2 linked regions of the Xenopus tropicalis genome follow. The protein of the gene in region 1 purifies or fractionates together with the protein of each later gene. This does not show direct contact. Links are inferred from orthologs where the notes say so. Each region holds a gene or a part of one and is shown in the gene's direction. Other genes may lie near its edges.

Evidence for each region. The genes of interacting proteins can lie anywhere in the genome.
Region 2: the proteins of map4k1 (region 1) and nudc purify together in Homo sapiens (affinity purification with mass spectrometry; 3 studies listed by BioGRID and IntAct, with this or other methods). This does not show direct contact. The link is inferred for Xenopus tropicalis from reciprocal best matches to the Homo sapiens genes MAP4K1 and NUDC.

What each region holds. Positions count from the first base shown.
Region 1 is NC_030684.2:80,423,163-80,427,486, reverse strand, and holds part of map4k1 (mitogen-activated protein kinase kinase kinase kinase 1), read left to right. Parts: intron 1-1,666; coding exon 1,667-1,731; intron 1,732-3,054; coding exon 3,055-3,093; intron 3,094-3,857; coding exon 3,858-3,927; intron 3,928-4,324. UniProt on the Homo sapiens protein: Serine/threonine-protein kinase, which plays a role in the response to environmental stress. Appears to act upstream of the JUN N-terminal pathway.
Region 2 is NC_030678.2:77,784,924-77,789,687, forward strand, and holds the start of nudc (nuclear migration protein nudC), read left to right. Parts: upstream 1-1,510; 5' UTR 1,511-1,522; coding exon 1,523-1,603; intron 1,604-3,958; coding exon 3,959-4,036; intron 4,037-4,764. Other genes in the region: gpatch3 (G patch domain-containing protein 3), read right to left, coding at 792-1,101. UniProt on the Homo sapiens protein: Plays a role in neurogenesis and neuronal migration. Necessary for correct formation of mitotic spindles and chromosome separation during mitosis. Necessary for cytokinesis and cell proliferation.

The sequences.
Region 1 (4,324 bases):
CAAGTTAGGGGGCGGTAGACCCTCCATTCAGCAGTGTTGTATTCAGTAGGTGAGTTCAGGCCCTTGTGCTTCATTCTGTCCTTATCCTTGTACACCTATAGGCAGGGTGTTAGGCTGATGCCAGACGTGCCAGAATACGCTCGGGTGCAGGCACATGTAGCCGATATACGCATGAAAACGCGAGACTTTGCATTCTCACGCGTTTTCATGCGTATATCGGCTACATGTGCCTGCACCCGAGCGTATCTCATTCAATCTGAAAGCATTTTTCCGCTTGCCGAAAATATCAGCCCTACGTCTCGTGTGGCATCAGCCTTAAATGCAAAAAAACATGGTGGCTTGCACCTCTATTTTTAACTTGCATCCTGCCCTGCTGTGAGTAAAGAAGCTCACTGATTGTATAGGAGCAGGCACTCAATGAGCAATCATCCGCACATGCATGTAAAATCCAAAGCTGCCATTTTTTGTACAAACAGAAGCAGCCTTATGTATTTAATCATAAGCCTATGACTAAGGGGCACATTTACTAACCCAGAACGGGGCGAATGCGTCCGATTGCGTTTTTTTCGTAATGATCGGTATTTTGCGATTTTTTCGGAAAATTGTCTCGACTTTTTAGTTACCAATACGATTTGCGCGAAAAAACGCGAGTTTTTCATAGCCATTCCAAAAGTTGCGCAAAATGTTGCGATTTTTTCGTAGCGTTCGGATTCATTCAAGCTTCAGTATGGTGACTTTTCTTGGGCCAGGTTGGAGCTGCAGGGTGCCATTGAGTCCTATGGGAGGCTTCCAAAATCATGCTAAGTCTGAAAGTTTCGGCTGCCGCTTACGAACGCTCAATACGAAAAAGTCGCGACAAGATATGAGCGAATCGTAATGGCTACGAAAAACTCGCCTTTTTTCGCGATAATCGTATTGGTAACTAAAAAGTCACGACAATTTCCGAAAAGTCGTAAAGGCGCCGAAAAAAACCGCAAAAAATACGAAAAAGACGCAAAATGTTCGTTTTCCAATCGGAATTTTTCCAATTCGGATTCGAATTCGTGTCTTAGTAAATCAGCCCCTATGTGTTAATATAACACAAAACATATAAGGCTGGCCCTGTCTTACAAGCTTGTTTGGAGGATTGCTCAGTGAGTGCCTGCTCCTACACAGTTGGTTGATTCTGCTTCCCTAACTGAAGACTAAAGGTGCCCATACATGTGAAGGTGAGGTCGCCAAGAGAGCGGATCTTCCCACCTATGGGTATGCGATATCGGGGAAAAAGTAGGTTAATTCGCCCCCCCCCCCCCAGGGCCAAACGATCAAATTATAATGGTGGCAATGGGGCAATTGGTTTGGGGAACGCATCAGCTCGATCCGACTTAATCTTTTAACCTGCCCGATCAATATCTGGCCAATTTCAGGGCAGTCAGGCATGTTCCTCGTTCCTGCCCCTACACGGGCCGATAAGCTGCCAAATCGGTCCAAGGGACCGATATCGGCAGCTACAATCGGCCCGTGTATAGACACCTTTAGAGTGGTGCACCTGAGCCCTCTTTTGACTGGTTATTCTGTTGGGACTATTACCATCTTTTTTTTATCAGCATTGTCTTACAAAATGCTGTATATATGTGCTTATGTATGAATCTCCTGAACCTAAGCTATGTTATAATTTTATTTTTAGGATAAATTTCCTGGCATGGATTACGGCCTAAGGGTGAGACCGATCAGCCCAGCCTCCACAAGGAGGTGAGAGCAATTGTTTATTTTATTTCCAATACCCCCGGCCATGCTGGTGCAGGTTCATGCAACTTTAAAGTCATCATGTAATTATTGTAATACTAATTTTGTAGGTTATGTTAAATATTCTCTCTCTTTTTGTGCCCTAGTATCACAGGGTTCCGTAAAAGACTGGGAATTTTAAAGTGTTTAAAATTGTTGACTTGACAATGTAGCTGGAATCATTATTACTGAGGGTGATGTAAAGCAAACCCATTTGTCAAGTTGTTTCACATCTTATTTTAGCTGCTCTAAGGGTAATGCGCATGGCGAGATTTGTTTCCTCAGCAACAAATCTTCTGAATATGTTTTCCCACTACCAATAATGTCAGTCACCAGTGGGAAAACAAAAAAAGTTTCTTATAAATGCTTTTTCCTCTGTGTAATTTCCTGAGTTTGTTTTAAGAGTGTACATTTCCTTTAATCAAATTAGAGAACAAACCACCATTAACTGCTTTCTACACATAATCCTCTAACCGCTGTTCTTACCATTTACATGTAACAGCCCATAAATGAACAGACTTCAGTTTCTCCTGTAGTTCTTTAGGCAAAACCTTATATATATATGATATAGTATAGTAGATATAGTAGATATAGTAGATAAGTAGATGACATCTACTATAATCTACCTTTCCATCTTTCTAATTAATGAATACATACAAGGCAAGTTGATAACAAGTTGTTTATCAACCCCTTCTCCTTATAAATTGTAAAATCTATTGGCACTGCCCTCCTCACCTCTTGTATCAATTATTGGTTGCTTTATATGTTACTCTGTATGTCCAGTGTATAAACCCACTTATTGTACTGCGCTGTGGAATATGTTGGCGCTTTATAAATACATGTTAATAATAATAATAATAATAATACCAGACAGCATTTAGCTATTCCTCAGAAACAATTTTCATACTTTTCATTTAACCCAAGGCCCATATTTAGCCCATTTGAGAAACAAATCAATCAGTGTAGTTATTTTGCGGACAAACCACCATGTATATTTCTCTGCATTTATTCTTTTTTGTGATGGTCACTTAATGCAAGCAAGAATACAATACAGAGGAATAGCATTGTGGTGTGCCTACAAAATAAGCAACATGTACTGACAATATGCTGAATAAAATGACCTGCATGCTTTACCATGCACAATTGAGTATTCAATGTAAAGTGCAAATCAGGATCAGAATATAAATATCAGTCAGTTGGCTGGCTACATGGCCTGCAAGTCTAGCAAACAACAGTAATGGCTTTTGCTATGCATGTGCAGGAGTGTTAATCATCTCGTTTTCGTGTCAGCTTTTCAGATGAAGATGATGACTATGATGATGTTGACATGTAAGTTTTTTGAAGTCAAAGATAAGACAGGTGTATGTGGGCACCACAGGCTCATTCTATGATGGCAGCATATCTAGTTATTCTGGTATTAGGCTTACCACAGAATAGTTTAATGTGCTTTTTTAACCCAATGAAATAAAGCTAATTTATTTGGGTCTGGACATTTGGACAGCTGAGTGATCCAGTCAAATCACTCAACATGAGAAAAAGCGGAAGGGCCTTTACCCCCCACATGTGCATCCAAACAGGCAAGTCAAAGCAATGACCCTACAGAAGGGCTTGTCTTTTTAGTTTTTAATTTAAAGTATCAATAGCTTTCCATATAAATATACAGATTAAGCAGGCTGTGCATTGGTTTATACTGTCTGCCGGTGTGGCCACTTATGACAGTTTTTGTATGTCTGGCTGTCACTAAATTCATCTTTAAATCGGCTCCCTAGACCCCCCGGATGACTGATTACTGGCCTGGAGGACAAACAGTCGGATCAGCCCAAATTGGCCACCACTTGGGTAGACAAATCAGACACCAATAAAGAGGATCTGTCTATTTAGTGCCAGATTTATACATGGTTCTTAACATACTGGCTCATTGTTTATGTAATATATTTGTATTTACTCACCATTATATTAACATACTTAGCTGTCGAATTAATGGGAAAGCTATATTATACTGATATTTATGCCAGGTTTGTATTAACAGAATGTATATTGAGATTGTTATTGAAATAAAAACTTACCCTTGATCACATTATTTTTTTTACTAGCCCTCAAAATGTTGATCAAAGCAACGATACATCACCCACAGGGGATTCCCCTCCTCCACTGCCCCCCAAGGTGAGACTTGTAATCCCTTGAGTCTTCTTATTCTTAAAGAAGACCTATCATCAAAATAACATTATGATATATACTTCATCACATGGGAAAAAAACTTTTCACAATATATTCAATTCTTTACTGTTTACTGTTTCTGAAATAATCAAGTTCTTCACTATCCCTCCTGCAGCAATCTCTCTCTCTGCATGCAACTTTGTCTCAGAGACATTTTGTTAAGGACAGTTAACTAATACATCACTGATCTGGTCCCCTTTGCCTAGATGATACCTATAGAAGAGAGAGAGGGAGATAGAAAAGAATAATTTGATTATTCCAGAATCTGTATATAATTGTTATTTTATCCTAAACATTTCTTATTTCCATTGAATATTTTTTTTTGTTTTCATCCCAATCCCCC
Region 2 (4,764 bases), on another chromosome or scaffold:
ATTGAAATTGCTACGTGTATGGCCACCTTTAGAGATTAGTCGCCCACGGTAACGAAGATTTGTTGCGGGGCGACTAATCTCCCCGTATGTCACTGCCCTTAGGGTGAGATATGGATAAATAAAACTTACTTGCTATCTAAATATGCCTGGAACAGTGGCTGAATGCCTGATGCACTGATATTTTAATTTATCTAAAACATTTTTATGAGCAGGGCCCTGACCAAAGGTTATACCTCCAAGGAGTCTTGAACTGAAAAAAAAAATCTGACAACCTTTCACTCATGTGTGATGTGTTCTGCAGGAGCGCTGCCAGAACAGAGACGACTGGTTCATCCCATGGCAAAGCTGCCAGTCTACATTTAAAATAGCTTCTGCATGGGCAGATTCAAAAACTGTAATGCCAATGACAACATTTAAAAAATCGAAAAATCACCAAGAAATGACACATATGGAAGATAGTAAAACTTAAAGAGGGTACACAGTCCTACACCCACCACAAAATATACTCTAGGGGGCAGAATTAACAATGAAACACATTCATTTGTGCCAGAAAATAGTGAGTGAATTTTAGTCAAGTCTGGGAAAAAAAAAGACAAGTCTCCTTGTGGAAATATGACAATGTTTCACAAAAGTACTGTATGTTATTACAGTGATAATGGTTGACTTGAGAGCGAGTGAAAGCAAAAGTCAACACAATGGTATGAAAACAGACATTTCCAATCGTTCAATATCACCCAGTTGCTCAGGCCCCTAAATCAATCACGGGGGTACCCTAACTTGTTTATTTGTACCTTCCATCGGACCAACACGAACTTTCCGAACCAAGCATCTACCAGGGACTTGATTTCCTTCCTTATCCAGCCACGGTTTCATATTGTACATTTCCAGGAAACTGCGGGATCGCTCCGGTTTGACGGTAACCGGACAACAGCAAGTACCCGAATTCTCTCCCCGCCGCTCTGGTCGGTGCCTGAAATGAAAACACACAAAGCCATCGCTCTCTGTGAACTGACTGAAATAGTGGCGAAGCTGGGCAGAGCGGAACGAACGAGGAATTCCATACACAACAAAAACAACTGAAGCACCACTTGGATCCGTCATCTTGGCAGTGGGGTAGTTCCGGTCTTTACTTTCCACCATCTTGCTACAGGAAATTACAGTCCATAACGCCCCGCCATCTTAGAAGAGGAAAACTACACCTAGTTTACCGGCACGTCACCACGTGGAGTGGTTAAAAACTACAATGGACTTAGTATATAATCGGCAAAAAGTAACATATTACAATAAATTATAAAACGTGTCCCAACTCTGGTATTCGGTACATGTTGTTTGTTGCGCATGCTCGACTGGTGCCCTATCTCTAAAACGCCATATATTCCAGAACCATCGTGTAGCTTGATTAATGTTGCTATAGCAACTCTAGCAGTGTAGATTTCTTTTCGCTGATTGGTTATAAGCTCCTGGAAGGGGCGGGGTTAGCGTAAGACCCGGTAGCAGTGCAGCATCTGGCGAACTGAGCAGCATGGCGGCCTCCGGAGAGGATGAACGATTTGATGCAATGTTGTTGGCTATGGCCCAGCAACATGAAGGAGGAGTGCAAGAGGTGAGAAATTATTTAAGGCAATGGTAATCCCTGTGTTTTAATTTATATTTTTCAAAATCACAGTTGTTACAGAAGTCAAAATATGTTCAAGTCGCTTTAAATGCTGCAAAAGTTGGCCAAGGCATAACTATTGCGTGCGTTTTTTTTCTTTTAAATGTAGCTTTCCTGCACACCCTTCATGTTGTAGGGCTTAAATATTGCTGTTCCTTAGGGAAATATACCAGAAATTGGATTTGATCTTACTCACTGAAGAGGAAGTCTCAAAACTGTTGTCTTCCTCTGACCTTACTACCTGCCTGCTTGATCCCATTCCTACCAAACTTCTACGTAATGCCAACCCCTGTCTTATCAAAGCCTTAACTCATCTATTCAATCTCTCACTCTTTACTGGAATCTTTCCCTCCCAACTGAAACATGCACTTGTAACCCCTATTCTGAAAAAACCCTCCCTTGATCCCTTCAATCCTACTAACCTCCGACCTATCTCTCTGCTCCCATTCATCTCCAAACTGCTTGAGCGCCTAGTCTACAACCGACTGACGCTATTCCTCTCTGACAATAACCTCCTGGATCCCCTACAATCTGGTTTTAGATAACAACACTCCACCGAAACTGCTCTAACCCAACGAACAAATTACCTCCTATCGGCTAAAGCCAAAGAACACTACTCGCTACTAATACTTCTCGATCTCTCTGCTGCTTTTGACACTGTGGATCACCCTCTTCTCCTCCAGACTCTCCGCTCTCTTGGCCTTCGTGACACAGCCTTATCCTGGTTTTCATCTTATCTCTCAGATCGATCCTTCAGTGTCTCTTACAATGGGGAATCATCTTCTCCCTTGCCTCTTTCTGTCGGGGTTCCCCAAGGCTCTGTCCTGGGCCCCTTACTATTTTCTCTCTATACCTCCTCACTTGGCAAATTAATCAATTCTTGTGGCTTTCAGTACCACCTCTCTTTCCTCTCCTGATCTCAACCCAGAGCTTCTAACTCGCGTCTCTTCCTGCCTGTCCGCTTGGATGTCCAAACATTACCTTAAATTAAACCTCTCTAAGACTGAATTGGTTCTCTTTCCCCCATCCAACGCCCACATTGTTCCCGAGGTATCTGTAACGGTTAACAATTCTACCATCACCCCATCTTCCCAGGCCCGGTGCCTTGGGGTTATCCTTGATTCTGCCCTCTCCTTCACTCCTCATATCCAATCACTTACCAAATCATGTCACTTTCACCTAAGAAATATTTCCAAAATACGATCATTTATCACCCAAGATGCTGCCAAAATTCTTATTCACTCTCTTATAATATCTCGCCTGGACTACTGTAACTCCCTGTTAATTGGCCTTCCCCTCCAAAGACTGTCCCCACTCCAGTCCATAATGAATACTGCTGCCAGGCTAATACACCTCTCCAATCGCTCCTTCTCTGCCATGCCAATCCCTGCACTTTCCCACTTTTTTTTTGCTCCTACAATAGAACTGCTGACCATTGCAATGAGATTCTACCAGGTTTTCCAGCCTCTTCCTTGGCCCATTTACAGAAAATAATCTCCTTTGATGTGCAGCGCAGTTGCTGATTCTGCTCCTGCCACTAACACGCTCTGCACTTACCTCCTTGGTGTCTGAGAGGGTCAATGGGGTGCTACATCGCTAGTGCAGAGATCGCTATTGTTCTCTCTGCATTAGAAAAAACAAATTTCCCTTTTAATAAACAAGATATTTGGCTGTTAAACATAATAGAGGCTGCTTTTTTAGTGTAAATCTTTCGCTTTAGAAGGAATGTAGCAACTTTAGAAAGATACAGGATATCCCTGACATAGGCCCTGTTATTTGTTGTTCATGTTGTGTTTCACCAACATCTGGGTATTTTTGTATGCTGTATATAGTTCATGGCTGAGTATGGTGTGCAAACTCATATATTCAATGGCACGCAAGTTAAGGCCCCCATACACAGGCCGATAGAAGCTGCCGATATCGGTCCCTTGGACAGACTCTGCAGCTTATCTGCCTGTGTAGGGGCAGAAACGAGCGGGCTGGCCGACCGATATCTGGCCTGAAATTGGGCAGATATCGACCGGCCGGGTTAGAAAATCCAGTCAGATCGGGGACCGCATCGGCTCGTTGATGCGGTCCCCGAACCGACTGCCCCATTGCCGCCTACATAATTATTATTATTATTTTTTTTTAACTTCAAGCTCCCCAATATCGCCCACCCGTGGGGATATCGGGGGAAGATCCGCTCGCTTGGCGATCTCGCCAAGCGAGCGGATCTTACCGTGTATGGGGACCTTTAGATTTTCAAATCATCTTCCTTTATTGCAGATCTAATTTCTTTGTTTTTTTTCTCTCCCTCTAAAGTTGGTAAACACATTCTTCAGTTTTCTGAGGCGCAAGACTGACTTCTTTGTTGGAGGAGAAAATGCTGCAGCTGAAAAGGTGAGAAAGAGCTGAACAGTTGTTCACCAAATTTTTGCAGAAATGCATTATATTCGTGTTGAAAGCAAGGTTACAAAAACAGATGAAGCCAGCTAATATGCTCTTTCAATATACAGTATGTTGGCTAACTCATCAATACACAGCATGTTAACTAGTTCAGTCTGTTCTTCATTAGGTTTCTTATCTGGCCTCCACATCTATGATTACATGTATACTCCTTGTTGACCTATAATTTTTTTCCAGATACTCAAGTTTGATACATTGTCATTTGTTTGATATACGATGTGACTAGTTAGTTGTTCCCTGGAGAATGTTTTTCTATGTATTCTTTTTTTTTTTTTTTTTCTAATTTCTGTTATAATCAGTTTGTTAGAACAGTTTCTCCACAGGGGGCAAACCTACATTATGGTTTGTTGATAAATGTGGCAGCAGATTCTCAGCAACACAATAATGTTGTGAGAAAAGCTGTTGATAAACAGGCTGATGCGAGTTGCCTACTCCAAATTGAGCTGAAAGCCTGTTGGTCTATGTATGGGCCATAACCATGGCCGGCCTGTTGTCTATTGGGCAGACTAGAAAATCCAAGGACAGCATTGGGCTTTTAATTTGATTGTTGTCACTGTGGGACAGTTGAATGGATAAACCCAACTGACCAAGTGGTCAGTTTCAGCAAAGGGTTTCCAAAATTTGTTTTTTCTCTACTTACATGTTTCTTTCCCTTTAATGCA